Linked DNA regions of Canis lupus familiaris. The protein of the gene in region 2 purifies or fractionates together with the protein of the main gene of each other region. This does not show direct contact. Links are inferred from orthologs where the notes say so. Each region holds a gene or a part of one and is shown on either strand. Other genes may lie near its edges. The genes, in order: NPM1, RB1, ARID4A, KDM5B, SP1, E2F4 and KDM5A.

Region 1 (3,934 bases), on a different chromosome or scaffold from region 2:
TGACATTGTGCACCGATAAGTTTTCTGTTAGTGGTAATAATAGGTTTATAATTGCTTAGTTTTTTCTTAGAAGGCAAATTTTGGGGGGATTGTAAAATAGGAACTTAAAGTATTTTTGTTCACAGGTCAGTTTGGGAGCTGGTGCAAAGGATGAATTGCACATTGTTGAAGCAGAGGCAATGAATTATGAAGGCAGTCCAATTAAAGTCACTCTGGCAACTTTGAAAATGTCTGTACAGCCAACGGTAAGGGCACTGAGACTTTTGGATTTTATGTCAAGGTCTAATTCTATTGTATTAAGGTAGGTGTTGTTTAGGTTACACCAAGGACTTAAAAGGGGGGAATTTCCTTTGTGTTTTTTTAGTAGCAGCTGCATCACTGTGGGGTTGAATGATAACTCTTGAACATATTGGTTCGCTATTTGTCAGAGGTGATAAAACAGGTTTGCTGGTTGGTTCATTTGGTTTATGCATTTGCCTGTAATGCCTGTCTAACACAAACATTTTTCTAGGTCTCTTACAAACAGGTTTTTATACCAAACATTTAACCTTAAAAGTTTATCATTTTTAGGTGTCCCTTGGGGGCTTTGAAATAACACCACCTGTGGTCTTACGGTTGAAGTGTGGTTCCGGTCCTGTGCATATTAGTGGACAGCACTTAGTAGGTATGTTATTAGGTATTATGCTATTTATTCTCTTCTTTGTTCCCAATTTGAATTTTGTAATGTGTGCTAGACCTATTGTCTTTATAATTGTTTAAATGGAGATTATCACTAGAAAAGGTTTTGTTTTGTTTTTTTGAAAACCAAGGAGTCCCGAAAATTCGTTTTTAAAAAATTTCTGTTCCCTAATTGCTATTTTTCTAGTAGAATCTTCATTTTTAAATGCTCATTACTGTATGCTATGCCCTTTTTTTCCTGAGTTCTTGCTTCTTGGTTGAATTCTAGTAGTGGCTAATAAATAAACTTGTTCTAGCTGTAGAGGAAGATGCAGAGTCAGAAGATGAAGAAGAGGAGGATGTGAAACTTCTTAGTATATCTGGAAAGCGTTCTGCCCCTGGAAGTGGTAGCAAGGTTCCACAGGTATAGGTTATCTTATCCTGGCCTTTAGTTTTGGTGATTAAGATCAGCACTTGTTCATGGGTACATATATGTACGTATTTTTATATGAACTTTTTTTTTTTTTTTAAGAAAAAAGTAAAACTTGCTGCTGATGAAGATGATGACGACGACGACGATGACGACGACGATGATGAAGAGTAAGTGTGATCTTAGAAGCTTGACAGTTGTATGGAGAGTAGTTTATGAAAATTATAATCATCTTTGAAATTAAGCAATACTTAAAAAGGGTAAATGGTCATTGGCTGTTACTTTGAATTAAATTAGCTGAATTTAAAAATGCTGGCATTTAAGAGCCTTTAAAATGCTGCAGTGTGGGACAGCTGCGTAGCTCATAAAATCTTTTAAAAAATTTTTAAAATGCAGTGTGTTGCAAATTTTCAAAAGAATATGTGGTGTCGGGATCCCTGGGTGGTGCAGCAGTTTAGCGCCTGCCTTTGGCCCAGGGCGCGATCCTGGAGACCCGGGATCGAATCCCACATCGGGCTCCCGGTGCATGGAGCCTGCTTCTCCTTCTGCCTGTGTCTCTGCCTCTCTCTCTCTCACTGTGTGCCTATCATAAAAAAAAAAAAAAAAAAAAAGAATATGCGGTGTTTCCCAAATGTATTTGACTAGATGAGTTTTTTTCCTGAGGAAGATTTAATAAACACGTGATGACAAGTCTGCTGGTAAGATTTTTTACTAAACAGTATATAAGTGATCTGGGTAGAAAGAATCCGGATGGCTCCAGCGACATTTCATTTTGTAAGTTGTCACTTAATGATTTTTTTTATCCCACAAAGGATTTTGGCTAATAGTTCTTTGGTCCTTACTGATAAAATGAGATTCTGAAAGAAGATTTTCATGAAGGATTTGAGATTTTTTTTGGAAACTATTTGGTGATAGGTTTATTAAACTTGATCAGGCTAAGGTAAAATTAAATGCATACTACACAATAAAGTGCTATTTATTTATTCATGAGAGAGAGAGAGGCAGAGGGGGGAGAAGCAGGCTCCCCGCTGAGTAGAAAACCTGACTGGAGGCTCCATCCCAGTGTCCTGGGATCTTGACCTGAGCAGAAAGCAGATGCTTAACTTACTGAGGCACCCAACTACCCCTTTACTTGTCTTGATATACTGAGTTGTCGGAAAACAAAAAAGCTCTTACAAGTTCCTTTTCAGAAAGAATTCACAAGTACTTTCTCCCGTTCTGTGGGCTGTGTTTTCGCGTGAGTGTGTAATCCTTTGCACAAAAGTTTTTAATCATCCAGTGTCCTATTAGCTTAATTTTTTATGTTTTTAATGATTTATGGAGTCCAGTTTATTTTGATGCTTGTGTGCTTTTGGTGTTAAAATAAGCCATTGCCAAATCTTCTGAAACCTTTATTATATGTCTTATATTTAAATCTTTGATCCATCTTGAATCCATTTTTGTATATGGTATGAAGTTGGGGACAAACCTAAATTCTGTGTGTGGATTTCTAGTTGTCCCAGCACCGTTTATTAGATGTCTTTCGCCATTGGATGACAGTACTGTGTCGTTGAGAATAATTACGATGAATTATGGGTTTGTTTCTGGACTCTTTGGTTTTATTAAGTATCCTTAGATGCTGGTAAAACAGTCTTGATTTCTGTTGCTTTGTCATTTTTGTGGGTTTTTTTTTTTTAAAACACTAAGTGCATCCTCCAATTATGTTACTTTTTCGAGATTGTTTTTGGCTGCTTTTGGGTTCTTTGAATTTTAATACAAATTGTAGGATCGATGTCTACAGAGAACCTAGGACTGTTAGGGGTTGTGATGAATCGTAGATTAATTTGGAGAGTTGCCACCTTAGAATATTTCTCCTGATCTGTGAACATGTGTTTCTATTTAGTTTCTTTAAACTACAACTTCCATTTTTAAGTTTTTTATCCACTTTAGTTGTAAGAAAAATACAATATTATCTTAACCATTTTTGAAGTGTACAGTTGAGTGTTAATTATATTGTTGTTTAATAGATCCTAAAGTCTTTTCATCTATTAATACTGAAAATTTACTTACTGAATGAAAACTCCTTTCCACCATTCTCCAACCCTTGGCTACCACCAATCTCCTTTTGGGTTCTATAGAGGAAAAGATTACTTTTGATGCCTCGTTAAGTGGGATCATACACTATGTCTGTCTTTTCCATGACTATCATGTTTGTTAGTATGTTCTCAAGGTTCATCCATGTGACAGGATTTCCTTTAAAACTGAATATTCTAGGGATACCCAAGTGACTCAGTCTATTGTGTCTGACTCTTGATTTCACCTTAGGTTATGATCCTCAGAGTCCTGAGATAGAGCCCTGTATCAGGCACCTTGCTCAGCGGAGGAAATCTCCTTGGAAGTCTCTCATTCTAAAATCTTTTTTAAAAATTGCAATATTCTAATAACTATCCAAAAATCCTGAATATTTCCTTAAATATATAAATGATAATTTTCTTAGCATTTGTTAGTAGATATTTAGGTTGCTTCCACTTGTGAAGATGAACATGCAAATAGCTCTTTGAGACCCTTGCTTCCAATTCTTTTTGTCAATCCTCAAAAGTTTGAAATTCTTAACATCTTGATTGACTAAACTTGGAGTTTCATCCAATTTTTACACAGGCTTATGAGTGCATTGGATCAGTAATAGTGACTCCTTGTGAGGAAAAATTAGGGACACAAATCATGAGATTTCTAACTCTGGGAAACAGGGTTGTAGAAGAGAAGATGGGTGGGGGGATAGGTGATGGGCACTTGATGGGATGAGCCCTGAGTGTTCTATGTTGGCAAATCGAATTTAAATTAAAAATTTTTTAAAAATAATAAGGACTC
Region 2 (3,934 bases):
TTTTCTTTTTCTGGTTCCTATAGGTGTAAGGTTATGTTGTTTATTTGAGCTTTTTCTTGTTTCTTGAGATGGGCCTGTATTGGTATATATTTCACTCTTAGAAATGCTTTCACTGCATCCCAAAGGTTTTGGACCATTTTGTTTTCACTTTCATTTCTCTCCATGAATTTTTTGTTTCTGATTGCTCTGCTGGCCCGTTGGTTGTTTAGTATCAGGTTATTTAATCTCCATATTTTTTTACAGGGTTTTTTTTTTTTAAGATTTTATTTATTTATTCATGAGAGACAGACAGACAGAAGGCAGAGGGAGAAGCAGGCTCTGTGCAGGAAGCCTGACCTGGGACTCAATCCCGGGTCTCCAGGATCATGCCCAGGGCTGAAGGTGGTGCTAAACCACTGAGCCACCCAGGCTGCCCCTTTTCTACAGTTTTTTTCTTGTGATTTATTTCTAGTTTCGTACTGCTGTGATAAAAAAAAAAAAATGCATGGTATGATTTCAATCTTAAATTTACTGAAACTTGTTTTGTGGTCTCATGATCCTTTCTGGAGATGTCCCATGTGCACTTGAGAATAATGTGTATACTGCTGTTTTTGGATTGAATGTGCTATATATATATATATCTGTTATGTCCATCTGTTCCAAAGTGTCATTCAAAGACACTGTTTCCTTATTGATTTCCCGCCCGAATGATCTATCATTGATATAAGTAGGGTGTTAGGGTCCCTGACTATTATTGTATTACTACCAGTCTCTTTATGTCCATTAATATATGCCTTATGTATTCAGGTGCTCTAGATATTCACAAGTGTTAAGTCCTCTTGTTGGATTGCGCCTTTTATCATTATGTAATGCCCTTCTTTGTCTCTAGTTACAGTCCTTTCAAGTCTATTTTGTCTGATATAAGTGTTGCTACCCCGGCTTTTTTTTTCTTTTCTTCCACTTGCATGGTGTTTTTTCATCCTTTACTTTCAGTCTGTGTCTTTACATCTAAGGTGAGTCTCCTGTAGGCAGCATATAGAAAGGTTTTGTATTTTTATCCATTTCACCACCCTCTATCTTTTGACTGGAGCATTTAGGCCACTTACATTTAAAATTATTATTGATAGGTACTTAATCCCATTTATTCCTTGTTTTCAGGTTGTTTTTGTAGTTCTTCTCTGTTCCTTTCCTCTTTTCTCTTGCCTTTTTTTTGTGTGTGTGATTGATGAGTTTCTATAGAGCTATGTTCGGCTTTCTCTTTATTTTTTGTGTATATATCATAAGTTTTGAGTTTGTGGTTGCCATGAGTGAACCTTATAATTTGTTTTTAATAATAATGCTGAAAAAGCAGTAGCCTGACATAACAAAGATAGGATCATATGCACATGGAACTAGATGTTTTATTGTACTCCAATTCCTTGGTACGTGGCCATCATTCTATATACATATTTAATTAAGCAGAATACCTAAATATGCTGGATACATAGAGTGTTAAGATGCTCTCTTAATGCCTGACCAATGATTTATCAAGATTTTGAGAATGTGGCTTTTTCGCTAAAGAATCTCAACCCAGAAGTGATTTCACTAAGTTCAGCAAATAGCCATCATCATAAGCATAGTATGGATCAATTATCATTACCTAAGTACACATTTTCATGCGGACTGTGTAAATATGCATTGTATAGCATCTTAACCAACTTACAATGTAAGTTGTAGATACCATGCACAGATACTATAAGAACACCAAATAAAGGATGGAATGGGGATGCACAAGAGGATTTATATCACTTGCCAATTATTTTCTACTTTGTCTCTTCCTGTGATTTCAAATTTTTATCATGAGTGTGCATTACCTATATAATTAAACACGCCACACAAATGTTTTCTAAAAGGCTAATATATCTCCTTCTCCTTGTTTTTCTTGCCCATTAAGTACAACTCTATGAGCTGACAATTTGGGGAAATGAGACTACATTAACTGTGCTAGCTAATCTGCCTATCACTGTACAAATAAAGTCAGTTTCAAACAGTGTATGATACCATATAATAAGTCAATGGAAGCACTTCAAAGCCACAAATTGCTTGTGGTTGGATGTGGAAGATAATATAATGATTTGTAGTTGCACAAAACCTTTCATCTAAGAATTTAAAACAGCTTCATACTCATCATCTCCCTAATCCACAGCACCCTTCCGAAGTAGACAGGACACCTGCCCCAGGTAATCTAAGGAAGCAGCAGGCAAAATTAAGGACGGACTCTTAAAGACTTAATTTACAGTCATCTACATTTAATCAGTCATCTACATTTTTATAGCAAAGCAAGATGAACAGGTTCAGAGAGTTTACAGGACATTCAGTAAAACTACAGAATAAAAATTCTTAACCAAAACTAATCTACTTTGCTTAGCAGACTGGCTACTTAGAAAAATATGAAAGTGATTTTACAACTATTACAAAAGTTGTTCTTTGTTCACAGAACAACAGACCCAAGCAACCAGGAAAGTTGAGGACTAAATTTGCAAGCCCATTTAAGTAAAAAGATTGTCTTTCTTTCCTTGCCAAATTCCTTTCATGTCATTTAATGTTAAATAAGCAAATATTTTAAGTGAAGAAAGCTTTATATTTTTGTTTTTGGATCAAAATAATCCCCCCTTGATCTTCCCTAAAGAGAAAACACAAACCTTGATCTTGGAGTCATTTTTGTTGGCGTTGGCACACCTTCTGAAATTTTATATGGATTCTTCAGGGGTGATATGTAGATGTTCCCTCCAGGAATCCGCAAAGGTGAACTAGAAAACTTGTAAGGGCTTCGAGGAATGTGAGGTATTGGTGACAAGGTAGGGGGCTGAGGCAAAAATAAAAAGTAGATTTTAAAAAAATATTTTAGTAAGATCCATTACTTTATAATTAGATTTTTCCCAATCAAAGGATACTTCCAACGTACCCTGGTAGAAGCATACTGTAAAATATTTGTTTTCAGTCTCTGCATGAAGACCGAATTATAGAATACTATAATGGAATCATACTCCTCTTCTCTGATCAAAACACGTTTGAATGTCTGAGGAAGAAGAATAAAAATACCTGTTAAGTGAATTGGGAAATTTATCTCTTTAGATTTTCTTTTTTAGGGATCCCTGGGTGGCGCAGCGGTTTAGCGCCTGCCTTTGGCCCAGGGCGCGATCCTGGAGACCCAGGATCAAATCCCACGTCAGGCTTCCGGTGCATGGAGCCTGCTTCTCCCTCTGCCTGTGTCTCTGCCTCTCTCTCTCTCACTGTGTGCCTATCATAAATAAATAAAAATTAAAAAAAATAAAAAAAAAAAAAAAAAAAAAAAGATTTTCTTTTTTAATAATTCATAATATTTTTTAGCAGTAGGAATCACATACTGTATAGGAAAAAATAATCTGAAAAAGCCTTCTCAGGTTTGGAATACAGCTGTTTTACCAGAAGAGAAATGTCACAGATTTTTTTTAATGTAATATTATTACATGTAAAAGTTTATTACAAATATCCTATCTGTGGCAGGGATATAGTATTCCTTATTAACTTTGTAATATGAATGTGGATACTAAAGTGCCTTAACTTTCCAATTCTATTTTAGTTACAAATAATTAACCAGTAACATAAAGGTAAAAAATTGATATGTGAATTTATATAACAAGGTCAGAATGTATGATCTAATTAATGACTTATGTTATCCATATTATAGATATGGATATAACCAAAAAATCTTACCATGAAAGGTTACCTACCTCCTGAACAGCATGAGGAAGATCCTTATATGCTGTTACAATGATTTTGAATTTAAGGTCTATATTCTTCACTTTGCATATGCCATACATGGAACACATCATAATCTAGTAAATCAATACAATACAAAAATATCAGAATTTTGTTACCTAGTTGTGCTCTAAAAAGTACTGTTCTCTTTCTTTTAGTTTCAAAAAATGGACAT
Region 3 (3,024 bases), on a different chromosome or scaffold from region 2:
CTCAAACTCATAACCTCAAGGGTTGCACCCTCTCCTTCCAGCTGAGCCATCGCAAGCCACCCTGTGAACATTTTCTTCTAATCACTTCCATTCTGATTCCATCATGATTCTGATACCTGACCTAGATAACTGCTGTTGCTTATGGGATGCTGTGTCCATTAGGTCTACTGGGGCAGGAAAAGGGTAGGAAGCTAGTGGATAGCTGGTTATAGGAAATTTTCTGGGATGAGTGAATTCTCTTATAGTCCTAGAACCCAGAGACAAGGATGGAATTTGCTATAGTGAGAATTTAAGCCAGGTTTACCTTGTTTTGGTTTTGGGGTAAGGTGAGTTCCTTCCAGGGATCGTTCAAGTTAGGGTTTAAGAGTTTATCATCTCTTTATATCTTTACATTTTAAGATGCCTTTTTTGAACTGAGTTATTTAACTGATGAGAGACTGATTCCAGTCAATTGAGCCAAACAATTTTTGCTGACAATGTTATTCCTAAATTTAGGCACCATTTAAGAGGATTGCAATTGAAATGAATAATAAGAAATTTATTTCTAATTTGCCAGTGGCTAGGTATCTTTGATAGTTTTTGGGTCTAATGTAGTTGTTTTGATTCTACAGTGTCTCATGCAGGAGCCTCCATGTCATCTGCTTCGTCAGACACTGGGATGAGTCCCTCATCATCATCTCCCCCACAAAATGTACTTGCTGTAGAATGCAGGTGATAAACGTTTTTCTCTGCCTTCCCAGCAGTTTGCTGCCATGGACATAAATCCTAAAACCCTGAAATACAACCACAGAAAGCACTCAACTGGTTTGACATTGCTAAGTATATCCTGTATACCTTTCCAGGCTGGACTGTATCTATTCCCCCCTCTTTTCTTTTTTTCTGTTGCAAAAAGTAAGCTGATTAATAATTGAAGGTTAGGCAGCCTGCCATATTTGTCTATAATTTTTCCTCTTTAATTTGTTTTCATTTTTTGTGAAGATAGAAAAAGGGCACTTAGCAAATCTGAATTTGTATAATAAAGCTTTCAACTGTTATAGAAATCATAGACAAGCAAGTGCACATGAAAAACATCAAAATATTATCCAGCTGAATAGTGACTGCTGCACTTTCACTAAGATGTATTTGAACACTTGGTGAGTAGGGGGTTTATGTTGTGGGTTTTTTTTTTTATTGTTGTTGTTGTTTTTTATTTTTGTGGAAGCACTTGCTATTTAGAACTGCCAAAGTATATGTTCAGCAGTGTGCCCAGGCTTAAAGGTGTAAATGGGACAAAATAAATTGTGAAAGGAAGTGTAGTTGACTGAAAACTACAGTTGTAATAAGTCTTCCACTTTTTATAGGATTTTTGAGCACACAATTATGCAAATATTTTAATGTTTATTAATGTTTACAGTGGAATTGTGAATAAGTTTTCAGTGGACTATCTTATCCCTTGACAAAAATATTTTGTCTTTTTTCTATGTAATTTCAGAGTTTTTATTTTGTTACAAAAAGACAAAAATGAAATATATAACAACAATGAAGTTATTTAACAAGATTTCTAAAGCTGAAAATTTTGTGTAAAATAAGGTATTATCTTGCAACTTGTTAAATATATTTATTCAGACATTGGATGTTGTATTTTTATGTATTTTTTAAAATATTAATAAAATTGAAAAAAAGAAAATTCTAGGTTAATTCACTCTTTGGATGACAATAGCTCTCAGCTGTCCCTTTTACAGGAGGTTGCATCCAGTAGCTTTGCCTGTGTTGAAGGGAGTCTGTCTCAGTCCTTCAAACAGTATAGAACTATAAATGGGCATCTGGATCATTAAAGTATGTCCTCGTTTAGAAACTTTGGCAGTCCTAGTATTTAAACTGTTTTGAGGATCAAATTTTTGGTTGCCCTTAAGATACTTTGTCATAGTTTTTTGTTTGCTATACTGCCGAATAAATTTCTATCTCCCAAAGTTGAGATGCAACAACTAAGTAAAGCAACTATGTATGCTGTGTCTGTGAATTGTTCCACAGACTGATACGTTTTGTAAATAAGTCCAAAATCATGTATTTAAAGCATTTTTGCCATATACATTATGTAAAAAGGTGATTTTTTAAAATCAGTTTTTAAATTCATGTTTGTACATTGAAAGGGGTTTTTTTTAAACCTCCTTTTCTGTGTTTAATATGCTGTAGAGTAATAACCTAGATGCTCTAGACTGTATATCAGGATCTGATTTACAAGAGCAAAGTCAGAGCCAAACACTAGTGATGGCATAGCATTACTGAAATCATTGTTTCTTAATTTCATTTTACCACATTGTGAACTTGTGATTCAGATTCCTTCCATTTTCGCAGAGAATTAAAAAGAAAAAAGTACTCTTGTAAAATGCACTTTTCTGTCTTTTCTTTGCAAAGCAGAAGTATTTCAATGTAAAATAAAAATGGAGCTCAGTGGGCAGTATTAAGTATTAATAAAGGCCATGTTTTAAACATAGGCTTTATATTTTTAGTTTTCATTTAAGTGATTGTTTTTTTCCCAAGTGCCAGTAACTTACAGTTGGAAAATTAGACTTTGCAAAACAAGCATATTCATCAGTCTTTACAATAAAATATTTCTAGTTCTTAATTATAAAAATGAAAAAAGCGTGTCATTCAAATCCATTTGGAACTAGGAGGCAACCTTAGATTCATATGATCGATATTTTAATGATTTGCTTCATTAGCAATTCAGTAAATGAGATGGTAACTAATTATCAACTTGAATCCATCCCTTCTAATCAATATAAATCTTGTAGTGAAGTATTGGGACCTTTCTACAGAGGGCAAAATTATACTCAATGGGTATATGGACACTTAAAATCCTTTTATTTTTGGAGACAGAATTACAAAAGTGAATACTGACTATTCAAATATTAGGCATATTTTGAATTTAGCAAAATTTTGGATAGTACTTACATGTGACTAAAAAAGTAAAAGTATAAAGACACTCTTCAATATTTAAAGTAGAAGGTCCTATCCATAAAATCAGGTTCTTTGAAGATTATG
Region 4 (3,934 bases), on a different chromosome or scaffold from region 2:
TTATGGAATGACATACTTGAAAAACAGTGGAATTTCATTAATTGGTGGTAAAAGAATGCTATTTTGGTATAATAATATTAGAATACTCGTAATTGTAGTTATATTTAGATGTGTCCTAATCCTGGATGTAGCCAATTTTTATAGTAAAATCCATGTTTTCTATTTAGAGCCTAATCAACCCTCATAGTTTGGAATACTACTCCATCTTGTGGCCGAATAGAGTATCTCTATGATCATTCTACCATAATTCTTTTTGTTGGCTCACTTGTAATTAGAAGAAAGCTTCTCTTTCTGGAATATCATCTGATAGTCTGTGTCCAGATTGTCTTTCACGAATGTCACTAAAAATCCCCAATTTTTGTCTCTCTAGGTTTACAGAACTAATCAGTGTGCTGGGGAGTTTGTGATTACATTTCCAAGAGCCTACCACAGTGGTTTTAATCAAGGTTTTAATTTTGCTGAGGCTGTTAACTTCTGCACTGTCGATTGGGTATGTAATTATGACTTAGCCTTTTTGAATATATTGTTTTCCTACTGAAGTGTAGTATATGATACTTGAGAAGCTTTCATGTGTGTGGTTGCTTAAACCTGTTGCTCCTCAAATGGCTGGTCTACAAATTGATTACCATCCACAGTGGGGTAAAGCACTTGGCACCACATATCAAGCCTGTACTGACTAAGCACACTGCTCAGTTTAGCTGATAAGTTTTTCTTTTGTAAAAGTGAGACTTGATGAATAAATGAGTCTGTTGATTTACATTTTGGGAAAATTCAGTATCTCATTGCAAACTTGTAACAAAAAGTTCATTCAGTCTTAAGCCTATGTAACACTAGTTTAAATTTAATGTATAATACAGCAATTTTTAATGATGCATTTGGTTTTAGTTGTAAGGTGGAATTTTTATATTGGTATTAATACTTTTCTTTTACATAAAAAGATCTAGTTCAAGTGTGTGATGTTAAATTTAATGAATTATAACCTTGTTTCAGTGCTTTACTGAGTAATAGTACTACCTGTACCTGAAATTATTTTCCATTAAATAGTTTAGAGCATCGTTAATTCCCTGAAGCAGGTTTAAGTCAGCATTGTTATTTCAGGAAATGTGTAAATTCTCATGTCCAGTTAGATTGTACACTGAACATTGACACGTTGTTAATACATTGGGTTTTTTAAAAATGTCTTTATTAATCTCTATACCCAAAGTGGGGCTGGAACTCATGACCCTGAGATTGAGTTGCATGCTCTTTTGACTGAGCCAGCCAGGCACCATCATACATTGGGTTTTTTAAACTACTTTTTAATTAGATACCTGACATGCCAGAGCTTTGAGATGCAAAGGCTAGAAAAGGGCCAAGGCCTCTTAGAGTCTGGCTATAGGGTTGATAAATGTATTATGACCCAGAATATGCTCTTTGGTAATGTGATAATGATCAGAAGTCTTTGGAAATAAAAAGGAGAAAGAAAGATAAATGTCATGTATTATCCTCTGTCTTTTGAAACAGCTGCCATTAGGCCGACAGTGTGTGGAGCATTATCGCTTGCTTCATCGCTATTGTGTATTTTCCCACGATGAGATGATTTGCAAGATGGCTTCCAAGGCTGATGTACTAGATGTCGTAGTGGCTTCAACTGTTCAGAAAGATATGGCCATTATGATTGAGGATGAGAAAGCTTTAAGAGAAACTGTTCGTAAATTGGTAAGATTTCTGGAATCCCAATTGGTGTGTCTCTGGATATTACTTAGTAAAATTCTTAAATTAATCTCATTTTAAGAAGTCTTTTCTTAGGCTAATTTCCTTTAAGACCCATTTTGGAGATGCCTAGTGGCTCAGTGGTTGAGCGTCTGCCTTCGGCTCAAGGCGTGACCCCGGGGTCTGGGGATGGAGTCCCACATCGGGCTCCTTGCGAGGAGCCTGCTGCTTCTCCCTCTGCCTGTGTCTCTGCCTCTCTTTGTGTCTCTCTTGAATAAATATATAATATATTTGAAAAAGAAAAAGACCCATTCTGATAGATGTGTATTAATATCTCATTTTGGTTTTCATTTTCTCTAATGGCCACTGATTTACTGAACATCCTATCATGTATGTACTTATTTACTACTTGTGTATGTATCTCTTCAGTGAAGCGTCTGTTCATATATTTTGTTGCCCACCTCCTTTTTTTATTGGATTGTTGTGAGATTTCCATTCATTCTCTATGCCAGTCCTTTATCAAATGAGTGTTCTGCAAGTATTTTCTTTCAGTCAGTTGCTTATCTTTTTTTTTCTCAGAGCAGTGTCTTTCTAATTGATAGTTCAATTAAGCAGTTGTTTCTTTTATGCATTTTTTTTTTTTAAGATTTTATTCATGAGAGAGAGAGAGGCAGAGACAGGCAGAGGGAGGAGAAGCAGGCTCCATGCAAGGAGCCCTATGTGGGACTGGATCCTGGGACTCCAGGATCACGCCCTGGGCTGAAGGCAGGCTCAATCACTGAGCCCCCCAGGCGTCCCATCTTTTATGCATCTTTTTAGAGATTTTTTTATTTTAGAGAGGAAAGAGATTGGGGGAGGGACAGAGAGAGGGAGAGGATCTCAGGCAGACTCTCTGCTGAGGTGTGGCTCAATCTTCTGATCCTAGGATCATGACAGGAGCCAACCTGAGCCAAAACCAAGAGTTGGATGCTGTTAAGCCACCCAGGTGCCCCTGCATCTTTTTTATGTACCTAAGAAATCTTACCTAACCCAAAGTCACAAAGACCTTTTGTTTATTCATCTAGAATTTTTTAGTTTTAGGTTTTACATGTAAATCTTTAATCCATCTCAAGTAATTTTTATTTATGGTGCAATGTGTGGGTTGAGATTATTCTTTTTTTGCATAAGGATGTCTCATTGTGGGACGGACCCCTGGGTGGCTCAGTGGCTGAGCATCTGCCTTCATCTCAGGGCGTGACCCCGGGGTCCTGGGATCGAGTCCCGCATCAGACTCCTTGCATGGAACTTGCTTCTCCCCCTGCCTATGTCTCTGAAAAAATAAATAAAATATTAAAAAAAAAAAAAGATGTCTCATTGTTTTAGCACCATTTCTTGAGAAGACCATTCTTTTTCCTTTAAAATGCCTTGGCACTTTGGTGTTGAAAATCAATTCACCGCATATAAATGGGTCTATTGCTAAACTCTGTTTTATTCTCTTAACTTATGCATTTATTCTCTTGCTGTTGCTATATGATCTTGATTACTATACCTTTGTAATAAGGCTTGAAATGAGATAGTGTGTGTTCTCCAATTCATTTACTTTAAAAATTGGTTTGGCTATTTTAGTTCCTTTGCTTTCCATATAAATTTGAGAATTGGCTTACTGATTTCTACCAAAAGCCCTGTTAGGATTTCACAGGGACTCCATTAAATCCATGAATATAATTGGGAGAATTGGTATCTTAACAATGTTGACTCTTCCAATTCATGGACATCATATATCTACCATTTATTTAAGTCTTCTTGAGTTCTTTCATTTTTTTGTGGATTGCAGCATATGGATCTTAACACATATTTTCTTGGGTTTATAGTTAAATATTTTGTTTTTTGGTACTATTATAAATGATACCTTAAAATTTTTTATTTCAAATGGTTATTGCTAGTATTTATAAATATAATTGACTTCTGTATATTGACTTTTTATGTCCTGCAACCTTGCTAAACTCAGTAGTTCTGTTAGCTTTTTTTGTGCTGTTTTGGGACAGTGGTATCTGCAAAAAGAGTCACATTGGATTTTTTTCTTTTTTTTTTTTTTAGTGTGACTTTTTTAGATATAACTCTTGAATGTTGGCTCTCTGAAGCCTTTTATGGACCAACAGCAAGCTTATTCACTTTCTCCTTATATTTTATAGTTAGGGAAAACAATGCCCAGAGGGTACGGTTTAGGTGTCTTAACATGGCCTTATATCAATAATGGTAACTC
Region 5 (4,362 bases), on a different chromosome or scaffold from region 2:
AGGCGGACGCCAAACCGCTGAGCCCCCCGGGGATCCCCGGGATCCGGACTTTAAAGCGTGACCCCAGGTCACCAAGTGCCGCACTGAAAATAATTTAGTGACAACACGAAGATACCAGGAGGGGCCGCAGGGAATGACCTCCGTGTCATTGACGACTCACCCAGGCCGCCTCCACCAACACCAGGGGAGGGGGGGGAAGCGAGGTAGAACGGGAGGTGCCAGAAACGCAGGTGTCTGAGGGGAAAGTGTCCTGTGACTTTGGTTACAAAGGCCCGCGCTCTCCTCCTGCCGTCGGACGGGGTGTGTGGGGAAGGAGAGGCAGGAAGTGGCTGACAGGACGCGGACTCTGGGAGGTCCTCCAGGCCCAGCTCTCGAGAAAGTCAGCGCCGCGGAAGGAAGCCGCCGGCCGCCGTCTGCGGGAGAAGTCGGGAAGATGGCGTCCGCCGGAGTCGCACAAAAGCCCTTGCGGACGGTCGGCGCGGGGTTGGCCGGGCGCGCGCGCACCCACAGGGCCGACACCCACACTCCGAGGCGCCCGCCCGCCCGTCCGCCCACCGCGGGGAGGGGGACGCTGGGGGGGCCCCCGAGAGAGCGGCCGGCGGGAGGCAGAGCCGCGCTCCGCCCGTCTCGACCCTGACACTTGTTGCGCAGCACGGCCCCACCGAAGCGCGCCACCTAACCACTGCAAAGACGTCCCCTGAGGAGGGCCAAGATGGCGGCGGCCTCCTCTTGGCACAGCCCTGCTCCCTCCCCCGCGACGGGCGGCTCTGGCGGCGCCCATTGGCCCCCCTGGGGGCGGGGCCTGGCCCCCTTCGCCGCCTCATTGGGCGGACCGACTGAGGGAGACGCCGCTTCTCCTCGGCCCACCCCAAAGTCCCGCCCCCGGAGTGCATTCGGCGTTCAATTGGCTTCTCGTTCACGTCAATTTGCGTCCCCGCTTGTCTTGTCTCAGCGTTGGCCCAATCCTAACTTTCCTGGCTGCCCGCCTGATTTCTGATTGGCTGTGGTCGGCTTCATCCTATCCCATTTCGGCCTGCTTCTTACCCCCTCCCACCGGGGACTTTGCCCAGGCATGTCCGGGCTTCTGGTTGGCCGATGTTCTGTCATTCCAACCTAAGCTCTCCCTATCCCCACCGTTCAGGGAGCCCGCCTGGCGGTTGACTGGCTCCCTCCCAAGCCTGTCATCACTAGCTCCCGCCCACCCCCACTTCCTGCGCCTTTCATTGGGCCTTAAAACTGAGAGGGCGGCCTCCCTGGGCGGACACCAGGCTCGCAACTTTGTCCTACACGCCTTAGAGAGCCAGTGAGCCTTGCCATTGGATGACCCACGCGTCTTTCTTCCGCAAGTCCCGCCTTTCTCCCTCCCTCATTGGGCGGGGCAGCAGCGAAGGGGCGGGGCCTAGGCCGGGCTTGTGGCGCGCTGCTCCCTCCTCCTTACCCCCCCCCTCCCTGTCCGGTCCGGGTTCGCTTGCCTCGTCAGCGTCCGCGTTTTTCCCGGCCCCCCCCAACCCCCCCGGACAGGACCCCCTTGAGCTCGTCCCTCAGCTGCCACCATGAGCGGTAAGGATGAGTCCACTCCACGCTTAGGGGTGGGAGGGGAATGAGGGGGCGCGCGCGAGGGCCGACCGGGCGGTCCCCGCCGTGAGGGGGGGCGGGCGGGAGGCGGCGGCGGCGGCCTTGGTCCCGCCCGGGGCGGAGGGAAGGGAGGGAGAAGGGGCAGTGGCGGGGCCTGCGAGAAAGCGGGGGATGGGCCGCCCGCCCCGGGGGAGGGGGCAGCGTGGCCTCGCCCGCCCCCTGCCCGCCCCGGCCACGGGGGACGGGCCTTACCCCCCACTATTCGGCCGCCCGCCTGAGGCTCCTCCCGCCGGGGGCTGGAGCCGCGGGGGCGGCCCGAGCAGTGCAGGCCCCGCCCGGGCCAACCGCCTCCCCGGTCCGCCCTCTGGTCGCCGCCTGCCCCAAGGCCCTCCCCTCCCCCCGTAGGTTTCCCCTCCCCCCCACCGTCCCGCCCTTTCCACGCCCCTCACCCCGAAACCGCCCTTTCCTTCCAGGGCCCGCCCTCTGTCCGCCCCGAAACCTCCAGATTCGTAACCCCTGGACCCCGTAGCCCCTTAGCCGTATCCACAAATGTTTCCCCACTCACACTTTTTTGTTTTTTCTTTCCCCTTTGCCCCTCTTCTCCTCGTGCTGCTTTTTACCCTTGAGTTTTTCTCTTTCTCTATATTCTTTGACCCTAATTTTAGCAAGCTTTCCATCCACCCACATGTTGTTCTTTGCCTTACCTATCCCTCTCCTTTTTATCCCCAGGATACTTTTTTTTATTTTGAAACTCTTTGAACATGTCCATCGCCCCTCACATTTCCTATACGAAAAGTACATTTTTAATGTTTCCTGGGTGTAATTTTGTGCCAGGGAAGAATTGAGGCCCAGTTTCAGCACTGCTAAGCCAAGTCTGTGTTCTATGTGTCCTACAATTGCCCTTTCCTCAATCCACTTTTTTTTTTTTTTTTTTTTAACGCTGGTGCCTTTCACCTTACTGTTAATTATTTGTTTCATCATAGCGTCCTTTATCCCTCCTAACCTTACCCTTTTCCTTCCTCCAACTCTAAGTTGTTTATCTTTTAATTCTTTTTAGACCAAGATCACTCCATGGATGAAATGACAGCCGTGGTGAAGATTGAAAAAGGAGTTGGTGGCAATAATGGGGGCAACGGTAATGGTGATGGTGCCTTTTCTCAGGCTCGAAGCAGCAGCACAGGCAGTAGCAGCAGTGGAGGAGGAGGAGGGCAGGTAAGTGATAAACCAGGGCAGAGTAGGGGAGATGTCTAGAGAATGTAAATATTCTTAGATTATTGTCTTTTCACAGAAACGTTTTTAGGAAAGCGCTAAACCATTTTGTAGCTAGGGAAGTTAGCACAGAGAGACAAATGATTGGGAGATCTCCAGAGATGAGGATTTCAGCAGTATGGATAGGTCAGCTTTTTGTTTCAGGTTTTTTTTTTTTTTTTTCCCTCTCTTTGGCTGCAGTTTTGCTGTTTATTTGTTTTAAAACTGCCCCCAGGGCTGGCAGCTGGGTGTCTCTGACTCCTATCCTCTCCCTTATTTTCCGGCCAGGAATCCCAGCCATCCCCTCTGGCTCTGCTGGCAGCAACTTGCAGCAGAATTGAGTCACCCAATGAAAACAGCAACAACTCCCAAGGCCCAAGCCAGTCAGGGGGTACAGGTGAGCTTGACCTCACAGCCACACAGCTCTCACAGGGTGCCAATGGCTGGCAGATCATCTCTTCCTCCTCTGGGGCTACCCCTACCTCAAAGGAACAGAGTGGCAGCAGTACCAATGGCAGCAATGGCAGTGAGTCTTCCAAGAATCGTGCGGTCTCTGGTGGGCAGTATGTTGTGGCCGCCACCTCCAATTTACAGAACCAGCAAGTCCTGACAGGATTACCTGGAGTGATGCCTAATATTCAGTATCAAGTAATCCCACAGTTCCAGACCGTTGATGGGCAACAGCTGCAGTTCGCTGCCACTGGGGCCCAAGTGCAGCAGGATGGTTCTGGTCAAATACAGATCATACCAGGTGCAAACCAACAGATCATCACAAATCGAGGAAGTGGAGGCAACATCATTGCTGCTATGCCAAACCTACTCCAGCAGGCTGTCCCCCTCCAAGGCCTGACTAATAACGTACTCTCAGGACAGACTCAGTATGTGACCAATGTACCAGTGGCCCTGAACGGGAATATCACCTTGCTACCTGTCAACAGCGTTTCTGCAGCTACCTTGACTCCTAGCTCTCAGGCAGTCACTATCAGCAGCTCTGGGTCCCAGGAGAGTGGCTCACAGCCCTCCACCTCAGGGACTGCCATCAGTTCTGCCAGTTTGGTATCATCACAAGCCAGTTCCAGCTCCTTTTTCACCAATGCCAATAGCTACTCAACAACTACTACCACCAGCAACATGGGAATTATGAACTTCACCACCAGCGGATCAGCAGGGACCAACTCTCAAGGGCAGACACCCCAGAGGGTCAGTGGGCTACAGGGGTCTGATGCTCTAAACATTCAGCAGAACCAGACATCTGGAGGCTCTCTGCAAGCAAGTCAGCAAAAAGAGGGAGAGCAAAACCAGCAGACACAGCAACAGCAACAAATTCTTATCCAGCCTCAGCTAGTTCAAGGGGGACAGGCTCTCCAGGCCCTCCAAGCAGCACCATTGTCAGGGCAGACCTTTACAACCCAAGCTATCTCCCAGGAAACCCTCCAGAATCTCCAGCTTCAGGCTGTTCCAAACTCCGGCCCCATCATCATCCGGACACCAACAGTGGGGCCCAATGGACAGGTCAGTTGGCAGACTCTTCAGCTGCAG
Region 6 (4,374 bases), on a different chromosome or scaffold from region 2:
GTTGCAGCCAGGCCCCACACCCCTGAGCCCAGAGAGTGGGGCTGAGAGGAGCTGCCAGGAACTCTGGGTCCCGTGGCCCCTGCTCTCTCCTGTGTCCTCCTCCCCACACCCCTGCCACTTCTGGGTGGGAGACGCCATTGCTCTCCCGGGTGCCCCCACTCACTTCCACTGGATGCTATTCTTGGATTTTTTCTCGATCAGCCCGATACCTTCCAGGACGTTGGTAATGTCGTAAATCCGCCGCTTCTGGCGCACAGCAAGGGTGTCAGCTGCCTGGCAGACAGAACAGAGTGCAGGATACTCAGGCCCACTCTCAGGTGTTCCCCCAGCTACCTTGAGACCTAGTCTGGAAGGGTTCTGGAAAAGGGGTGGCCCGAGTCCCAATCCCCCTCCCAGGCACTGCAGCAGCTCGGGACCGCGGGGCAGAGGAGGCCCGGCACCGTCTGAACTGATGTCCCCACACCAGCCGAGGAGGGCCACGAGGACCACCGCCTGCAGCCCAGAGCCTGGCACAGAGCGGACGCCCAATGGCCCCGGCTGAATGAATGAAACCGCTCCTGGCCTCCCGCCTGTGAGAAAGCACACGGATGGCGCTTTGCCCTCCGAGGGCTCAGCGGGGCCGCCCCAGGGGTTCCCACTACCGGTCCGGGCCTGCCTGGTCCACCATCCTCCCGGGCGCCCCTTAGCCCAGGCCGCACCAGCTTGAGGTCAAGCACGCCGTCCTTGGCCTCCTGCAGAAGCGACACGAACTTGGTGGTGAGAAGTCCCAAGCTCTTCTCGTGCCGGCTTGGGGTGCCCGGGGGCGGCGGCGCCTGCGGCCCGGCCTCCGCCATCGCTCCCGCCCGCCGCCTCCCCTCAGCCAGGCCAGGCCAGGCCGGCGCCGCCGCCACTTCCGCTTCCGTTCCTGGCCACCCGGCCGCCGGCGCCAGCGCCGCTGTTTCCGCTTCCGCTCCGCGCCCTCCCAGGGAACCCGGCGCAATTCCTCTCTGCGGACACGGCAGCAAAACTTCGGGGACCATCAGCAAATGTCCAACCGCCGAAGAGGACGAAGACAATCCGGGGATCCCGGGAGAGGGGACAGGGTCCAGGGGCAGGTGGAGGAAGTCAGGGGGGCAGCCCCGGCAGTAGAGAAGGGAAAGCCGCTAGAACCTTCCAGGCATACCCAGCCTGTCCCCTTTGCGGAAGAGGAGACCACGCTGCTTGATGACCGCAATGTGTTTCCCCCAACCTGCTCCTGGAAGCTGTCCCAGTGTCTTGGTTTAACTGACCCCATTGCTGTCCTTCAGTTCCTGCCAAACAGCCAGCATTGGGTACAGCGGGCCCACTTGTGTCCACTCCCATTCCCCTTCCCTGATCCCAGCCTCATCTTTCTCTCGTCCCCACCCTGCAGTACCCAGAGACCATGGAATTGTAACCATCTTCCCACCAATGCAAACATGCTTACCTATGCGCACATGTCAGTAAAGCACTTAGAGCAGTTCCTGGCAGGTAGAAAGGGTTAGGTGTGGCTAGTACCGTTTTGTTATGTTTGATACCATCAATATTTATTATCATTTACTTTAGGTCAGGATCTCTGGGAAGCCGACTTTGAGACAGGAATCTGTCTGCAGGGAAGTTTATTGAGGATCCACATCTGTAAGGGAGTAAGACACGCAAAATTGAGGAGAAAGGTGAATTAAACTGTGATGCAGTTACAATAGAGGTCTCAGGCCATCCTGTTAGGAGCCCTGAAACCGAGGTGGGGCCCTTCCAAGGTGGTCCATGTCCAGACAAGGTTATCAGGCCTTTGTGCCCTGACTTTGAGTGAGAGACTCAGCTGTGACATCTTAGCAACCTACGTTCCGGACAGCTAGGGGAAGAAGTGGCGTGGTCCCGCAGGGTGGATTTGGGTGGTAACCAGCATCCACTATATTATTACTACCTGGTGGTCCTCTCCATGGCCCCCTGTAACTCTCAAGACAAACACAGCTTTCAGAGCCCTCCTACCCCTCTCTTACCATCACCCACCACACACCTTCCTCACAACAGCCTCTCAGTTCTCTGCAGGGGTGCCTACCCTCCCTCTGAGGAGCCATCAACACAGTTTTCCTACTGCGATGTTGTCTGCACCCATATTTGCACACACTGCTCTCTACCCCAAATTAGGGCCTTCTAGTTCACATGAGTCTGTGTCCTGAGCACAGGACGTAAGAGGTCCTGGATGGGTTGGGCAGGACTCCTACACCCCCTCCCCCCAAGGAAGTGGCGCCCAGCCCTCCCCACCCCATCCCACAATGCAGATGCACTTTCCTGTTGGGAATAAAGGGCCAGAGACTCAGCTTCCTTCCTTTCTGGGCATTTGGCCTTGGGGAAGGAGGGGCCTTCGAAGGAGGAGGGTGCTCCTGGGCAGGGGAGGTGGTACAGAGGCTTCCTTGGGGAGGATTCTGCTGCATGCTGGGGTGTAGGCTGGAGCCACCCAGGCCTCGTGAGCCAGTGAAGAGAATACCCTGCTTTGCCCTGAGGACTGGGGGAGAGGGCCATCCTCAAGGCCAAAGAGTGTTTTCAAAGGAGAAGGAACTGGATGCCTGGTCAAGCCTGGTGAGTTCCATACTAAACCATCCTCTGCAGTTCAGAGCTGGAGCTGGGGCCAGCAGGGGCTTGAGTCTGCTCTGCCTCACTTGGCATCTGCAGGGGCAAAACTGAGAAACCCAGTCCTCCCGTTTCCTGAGGGGGCTGGGCAAGAAACCCCCTCCTCCTTCTCAGAGGGGCCTAGACCGAGGCTGCAGCTCACAGGAGCACCCATTCTGCCCACTCTAACCCAGGCTCTTGCCCCGACTCCTACCTCATCTCCAGCTCCTCCAAGGACTGCCATGGACTCAGCAACCAAGGATGAAATGCAGCCCTCAATTCCTCCCGGTAGGAGCCCTTCCGGGTGGACTAGGGGAGGGATGGTGGCCAAAAAGATGGCATTGGTGGGGTTGGGTCCTCCTTGCCAGGTCTGGCCGGTGCTCTATAGGGCAGCAAGAGGAATGGGTCAGACTGCCCTAGGGGGACAGGCTAGGAAGTAGGAAGGGGAACAGGTTTGGGCCACTTCCCATCGGCCTTGCCCAACTGACGAGGCTGCCCAGGCTCTTCCTGCCCAGGGCCTGAGTGGCCAGAGCAGGAGAGGGCGGAGCAGCTGGCCCGAGGAGCAGCACTCAAATGGGCCTCGGGCATCTTCTACCGGCCGGAACAGCTGGCTAGACTGAGCCAGTACCGCAGCCGTGAGGTTCAGCGTACCTGCTCCTTGGAAGCGCGCATCAAGGTGGGCATTGGTCAAGGGAAAGGAGAGCTGGGGGTGGGCTGCCGGCCTGGCCAGGCCTCACAGGCTGCCTCCCTCCTTAGTCGGTGGTGCAGTCCTACCTGGAGGGCGTGAAGATTGGTGTGTGGCAGCTGGCCCAGGCTTCTGAGGCCTTGCAGGCAGCCCGTGAGGCCCTTGGCCAGGCCCATGGGTTGCTTCAGGATCTGGCAGAGACCACACAGACCCTAAAACCGCTGCGGGAACAGGTTGCACAGCACAAGCAACTGCAGGTCCTGTCTCAGCTGCTGCCCCGGCTGTGGGCAGGTGAGTGTGCAGGGGCCCTGGGCCTCAGCCCCTCAACAGTCAGTCAGTACATGCCCATTACTGACCAAAGGGCGTCACCCTTAGATGGGAGGGACACCCCAGGGACCTCCCAGAGAGTGACTCAGGTTTCTGATGGCAGAGGAATCTGGATACAAATCAGCTCATGCTGGGATTGTCAAGCATGCGTTGTAGGACTCAGGGCTGAGACCCAGTCAAGTGGCTCTGACCGCCCTGGTTGCAAAGTTATTGAAATGATTCCTTAATAGGATGGGTAAATAGCCACTAGCAAGGGTCCACGAGTTCTTCCCTGCCTTGCCTCCAGGATCCCTGACTTCCTCTTGCTCCATCAACTCAAGAATTTATATCTGGCCCAGTAGGCCTCTGGGCCCTTCTCTGGGTCCTTTCAGATTGGTCAGTGCTCTGCTGTCCTGGTTATTATGCATTTTACACATCACTCCAGCCCTAGGGGCCTCAGTATCCATGGCTGTGCCCATTGCACAGGTGGGAAGTTTGAAACTTAGGGCTGTTTCATCTTCTCCCTTCCTAGTGCCAGCAGCAGTGGCCCACACACGGACCCTGATTGATGCCCAGCAGCTCTTGGAGGCATATGCGTGCCTTCGGGAGCTGGAGCAGCTACAAGAGGAGACGTGGGCACCTCTGGGGGGCCTGGAGCTGCCAGTCTTTGAGGCGCTGGGCCCTCTGGCTGAGGCTCTTGGCCAGGCTGTGGAGGTGGCTGCGGGGGCCGCAGGGCAGCTGGCACGGGAGGACCCAGCCCTGCTGGTGGCTGCTGT
Region 7 (3,934 bases), on a different chromosome or scaffold from region 2:
GATTCAGCGGTGATTATAAGATATTACATGCAAATGAAGTAATCCAACAATGCAGAGCACAAATTAAATGCTATGATAATTAAGATCAAATGACTGATTTTATTTTTCTATGTAATTACCTACTCTTCTCCCTAAGCCAGTAAGGGGTCTTTCCCTCAGGCCAAGATACTAAATTCAAAGATGAATTTAATTTTTTAAATTTTTTTTTTTTTAAGATTTTATTTATTTATTCATGAGAGACACAGAGAGAGAGAGGCAGACAGGCAGAGAGAGAAGCAGGCTCCATGCAGGGAGCCCGACGCGGGACTTGATCCCAGGTCTCCAGGATCATGCCCTGGGCTGCAGGCAGCACTAAACCGCTATGCCACCGGGGCTGCCCTCAAAGATGAATTTTAAAGATGAATTCATGGTCACAATCAGGGGACATTATACAAAGGAAAAAATCGCCAAATTGTAACTAAACTAGCAAAAATTTTAATTATGGAGTAAGTGATTGCTCTATGGAAAAATATGCAGGAATTTAATTTTTTTTAACCTACAATCAAGGTGAATGTGACCTTGAATCACTCTAAGTCTTGCCACCTACCACTCTTCCAAGCTGTCAAATACATTGCTAAAAGTATGAATTCCTAATTCATACTATAAAGTGCCCCCCTACCAAAGGAAAGCCCATTATTAGCTAATACTGTTATATAAATTTTATTAAAAAAATACTACTCTCTACAACCACATCAAACCACAGTTTTGATCCCTAGCCCTGAAGTCCCATAATACTTGTGATGTTTTGTTTTCATTGGTTTCCAAAACACTCCCAAACCAAGTCCATCCCGTTTAACAATTCTAGGGTACTGGTTGATAATTAGTATGCTAGAAAGAGAACCCAGTTATCAAAGATCTCTAAGCTATAGTAAACCAGTAATTCTAGTATTAGTTAACTTATATGTAGCATGGGCTGCATTCCCATTCAGCTGCTCCTTTAGAACTTTACCTTAACTGGCTAATTCAAGTTTCAACTTTGCTCAAGTCTTTAATTCATAAAACTAAAAATTCCCTCATTAAAACTTTCCCAAGATCCATTTTTATCTTGAGAAAAAATATTTTCCAGTAGATAATTTATAAGCATCTATGATAGATGGTTTAAACTATCCTGCAAGTTTTAATGCTGATGTCGTTCATGCTCTAAGAATGAGCTTACCTATCTGATTTGCACACTAAAACGACAAAGAAAGGATAGTTAACCACCAGTAGGAGAAAGAAATGCACTCTCGTTTTTCCACACATCAGAGTATGAACTCCCTGGTTACAGACACAAATTCTAAACAGTTCAAAGACTAATATAAAACAGATGAATGGATTAACTGTAACCTGGCAGAGTTCCTGCCTAGATCGTGATGTTATACTAGCTAAAAAGACAAAGGGCTTGGGCCTGACACAAAATAATAAAAGGCGAATAGGATCCAATACAAAACAAACTTGCCAAAACCAGGGTACTGTTATTATCAAAGGAATCACATTGAGGACAAATAATTTTTTCTAGCTGCAAATGTAACTGCAAATTTGAACCATGGGCCCAAATATAACTCATCTCTAAATAGGACATTATATCCAACATCATCCAGAGAGATCAGAGCAAAAGACTCAAAGCACAGCTAGAATGGGATTCTTAAAATACAACTATACAGACCTGAAGAGCCCAAAGGAAACAAAATACTGAAATAAGCCATGAAAGCTTTCAATAATCTAAACGCATAATTTTTTTAGGCCCTCTAGGACATAAGGAGTTACAAGGTGAAGAAAATATGGATTTTTAAAAAAATTCCATCCTTTAAAAAAAAGTTTCATCTATATTTTGGGGGGCTTTGGAAAAATGCTATTACGATAAACCCAAGATAAACGGACTAGTATTCTCTTCTACTTTCAGGCTTCCAATACCAGTGTTCACTATTTTTAACAAGCCCAGTGATCAGGTATGCCTGTCCATTAATTACCTTCATGTCATAGCCATATGTCTCCCGGATATCTTCATCAGAATCTGTTTCTTCATCATCATAGTCCATTGTTTGTCGAGGAGAAGAAGATACACTGCTCACCACCCGGTTAAAAGCAGACTGCTGGAAACTAGGTAAGTGTCCCTAAATAACAAACAATTCCAACATGGGTAATTAATATGCATTTAAGACCACCAAAATGTAATGAACTTTCAAAGTGGCCAACAGAATTCCATGGTTAACACAAATCAAATTTGTGGTTTTAATGCCAAGGTCCCTCCCTCAATAATATTTCCAGTTAATAGTTCACTAAAATGATGTAGGTATATACCTGAAGGAAATCCTACAGGTGTATATAAAAAGATGTTATGGATAACATAGCTGCTAGCAACTTACTGCTGTTTTCCTCATCAGCTGTTAAGATATATTTAATTTACTATTTATACACATAATCCCATGAAATAAAAAAAGAAAGAAACCCTAAACTTACCTGTAAGTCAGGATTAGCAGCTGCTTTCTGGAGTTCTGCACTGATTATCTTTTCAGTTTTCTCTCGAGCTGCCTGCTCCACCATACGCTGGCTCAATACAGATAGTTTGGCTAAGGCAGAGGACAGTTCATCTGTGGCTAGGGCCTGCCGTGCTCTATCCTGCCAACTCATAGCACGTTCTGTCAAACACTGTAGGGCCTCTCCTTCAGGCAAACGTACTGGCAACTTCTGAAGGGATACCAAGAGCGACAGAATAGTCTCTAACCTTGGCCTTCGAGACCGCATACACAGAGGGCAAAGGAATTTCACTTCTTTAGCCTGCCAGCTAGACCCTTTTTTTTGGGAACCTGATTTAGGAAGGGGAACACAGCTGTTATGGAACCAGTCTTTGCAGAGCTCACACTGTAGCATAAACCCACTGGCTGTCTTGCGGCAAATGCAAAATTTTACTTCTTCTATGCGGTCCACCATTGTCATCTTGGCTAGGTTGGCTGCTCTCAGGGAATGCATGGCTTCAATCTCTTTTTGTTCCCGTTCTTTGAAAACCGCCACCTGTGTAAAACAAATGATTAAAAGGAGTCACTGCAAAATATTTCAAAATGTCAAATCCTCAGACCTGAGGGATCATCTCCCCATTGTGCCCTCATTGTGACAAAGTATTATCCTAAAAAAAAAGGCAACCACCCAACATTTGTCAATAATTTCCTATAATTTGGGAGCAAACATTCCTCATCTGTGAAATGGGCAAAGTGCTACCATGTTTGACAATGTAGATCAGTAGAGTATGTTGGAACTCTTCTGTAGATTGAACAGAAAGATAATATGCCTTGGGAGTCAAGCAACCTGAGTATGAAGCCTGGCTTTTGTACTTATAGACAGCTGATCTGGGGCACAAGTTTTCTGAATATCAGTTTTCTGAAAAACAGTATACTAACCAACCTCATTTTGTTGTTTTGAGAATTAAGATAATACATGTAAATGTCTAACTTGGTGCCACGTGCAAAGTAAATATCCACTATATATTACTTCCCTCTCCCCTTGTAATTCCTTCCCTGAGGGTGACTTCTATACAAATCAATTTTTATTTCTTTCTAAATGGCCTCTCCAACTCATGTATAAGTAGAATGATGAAGTCTGATGATCAGTTATAACAAGGTTTAGGTTACTCATTTCAAAAAAAGAAATAAAAGTAAACAAAATTTCATTATCATGAACATGAACACTGTCCGTGCCATTTTCTTTTTTAAACTGTGGTAGTGGGACGCCTGGGTGGATCAGCAGTTAAGCATCTGCCTTAGGCTCAGGGCGTGATCCTAAAGTCCCGGGATCAAGTCCCACATCAGGCTCCCTGCATGGAGTCTGCTTCTCCCTCTGCCTATGTCTCTGACTCTCTTTCTGTGTCTCTCATGAATAAATAAATAAAATCTTTAAGTAAACAAACTGTGGTAGCTTTGCA

What was found.
Region 1: the proteins of RB1 (region 2) and NPM1 purify together in Homo sapiens (affinity purification with western blotting; 3 studies listed by BioGRID and IntAct, with this or other methods). This does not show direct contact. The link is inferred for Canis lupus familiaris from reciprocal best matches to the Homo sapiens genes RB1 and NPM1.
Region 3: the proteins of RB1 (region 2) and ARID4A purify together in Homo sapiens (affinity purification with western blotting; 3 studies listed by BioGRID). This does not show direct contact. The link is inferred for Canis lupus familiaris from reciprocal best matches to the Homo sapiens genes RB1 and ARID4A.
Region 4: the proteins of RB1 (region 2) and KDM5B purify together in Homo sapiens (affinity purification with western blotting; 3 studies listed by BioGRID). This does not show direct contact. The link is inferred for Canis lupus familiaris from reciprocal best matches to the Homo sapiens genes RB1 and KDM5B.
Region 5: the proteins of RB1 (region 2) and SP1 purify together in Homo sapiens (affinity purification with western blotting; 3 studies listed by BioGRID). This does not show direct contact. The link is inferred for Canis lupus familiaris from reciprocal best matches to the Homo sapiens genes RB1 and SP1.
Region 6: the proteins of RB1 (region 2) and E2F4 purify together in Homo sapiens (affinity purification with western blotting; 10 studies listed by BioGRID and IntAct, with this or other methods). This does not show direct contact. The link is inferred for Canis lupus familiaris from reciprocal best matches to the Homo sapiens genes RB1 and E2F4.
Region 7: the proteins of RB1 (region 2) and KDM5A purify together in Homo sapiens (affinity purification with western blotting; 4 studies listed by BioGRID and IntAct, with this or other methods). This does not show direct contact. The link is inferred for Canis lupus familiaris from reciprocal best matches to the Homo sapiens genes RB1 and KDM5A.

The regions. Positions count from the first base shown.
Region 1 is NC_049225.1:41,656,571-41,660,504, reverse strand, and holds part of NPM1 (nucleophosmin), read left to right. Parts: intron 1-125; coding exon 126-245; intron 246-570; coding exon 571-664; intron 665-974; coding exon 975-1,081; intron 1,082-1,189; coding exon 1,190-1,257; intron 1,258-3,934. UniProt on the Homo sapiens protein: Involved in diverse cellular processes such as ribosome biogenesis, centrosome duplication, protein chaperoning, histone assembly, cell proliferation, and regulation of tumor suppressors p53/TP53 and ARF.
Region 2 is NC_049243.1:3,037,872-3,041,805, forward strand, and holds part of RB1 (retinoblastoma-associated protein), read right to left. Parts: intron 3,837-3,934; coding exon 3,732-3,836; intron 3,038-3,731; coding exon 2,924-3,037; intron 2,825-2,923; coding exon 2,661-2,824; intron 1-2,660. UniProt on the Homo sapiens protein: Tumor suppressor that is a key regulator of the G1/S transition of the cell cycle. The hypophosphorylated form binds transcription regulators of the E2F family, preventing transcription of E2F-responsive genes.
Region 3 is NC_049229.1:34,023,825-34,026,848, forward strand, and holds the end of ARID4A (AT-rich interactive domain-containing protein 4A), read left to right. Parts: intron 1-611; coding exon 612-715; 3' UTR 716-2,474; downstream 2,475-3,024.
Region 4 is NC_049228.1:516,405-520,338, forward strand, and holds part of KDM5B (lysine-specific demethylase 5B), read left to right. Parts: intron 1-370; coding exon 371-490; intron 491-1,503; coding exon 1,504-1,698; intron 1,699-3,934. UniProt on the Homo sapiens protein: Histone demethylase that demethylates 'Lys-4' of histone H3, thereby playing a central role in histone code. Does not demethylate histone H3 'Lys-9' or H3 'Lys-27'. Demethylates trimethylated, dimethylated and monomethylated H3 'Lys-4'.
Region 5 is NC_049248.1:44,804,215-44,808,576, forward strand, and holds the start of SP1 (transcription factor Sp1), read left to right. Parts: upstream 1-1,448; 5' UTR 1,449-1,553; coding exon 1,554-1,560; intron 1,561-2,039; exon of another isoform or gene 2,040-2,447; intron 2,448-2,632; coding exon 2,633-2,787; intron 2,788-3,111; coding exon 3,112-4,362. UniProt on the Homo sapiens protein: Transcription factor that can activate or repress transcription in response to physiological and pathological stimuli.
Region 6 is NC_049226.1:82,760,573-82,764,946, forward strand, and holds the start of E2F4 (transcription factor E2F4), read right to left. Parts: upstream 3,047-4,374; 5' UTR 2,896-3,046; coding exon of another isoform or gene 2,802-2,895; intron 2,578-2,801; coding exon of another isoform or gene 2,431-2,577; exon of another isoform or gene 2,305-2,430; intron 1,634-2,304; 5' UTR 1,445-1,633; intron 1,336-1,444; exon of another isoform or gene 1,290-1,335; 5' UTR 1,020-1,289; coding exon 699-1,019; intron 274-698; coding exon 164-273; intron 23-163; coding exon 1-22. Other genes in the region: EXOC3L1 (exocyst complex component 3-like protein), read left to right, coding at 2,431-2,577, 2,802-2,895, 3,108-3,283, 3,364-3,583, 4,131-4,374. UniProt on the Homo sapiens protein: Transcription activator that binds DNA cooperatively with DP proteins through the E2 recognition site, 5'-TTTC[CG]CGC-3' found in the promoter region of a number of genes whose products are involved in cell cycle regulation or in DNA replication.
Region 7 is NC_049248.1:3,660,019-3,663,952, reverse strand, and holds part of KDM5A (lysine-specific demethylase 5A), read right to left. Parts: intron 3,031-3,934; coding exon 2,479-3,030; intron 2,133-2,478; coding exon 1,989-2,132; exon of another isoform or gene 1,922-1,988; intron 1-1,921. UniProt on the Homo sapiens protein: Histone demethylase that specifically demethylates 'Lys-4' of histone H3, thereby playing a central role in histone code. Does not demethylate histone H3 'Lys-9', H3 'Lys-27', H3 'Lys-36', H3 'Lys-79' or H4 'Lys-20'.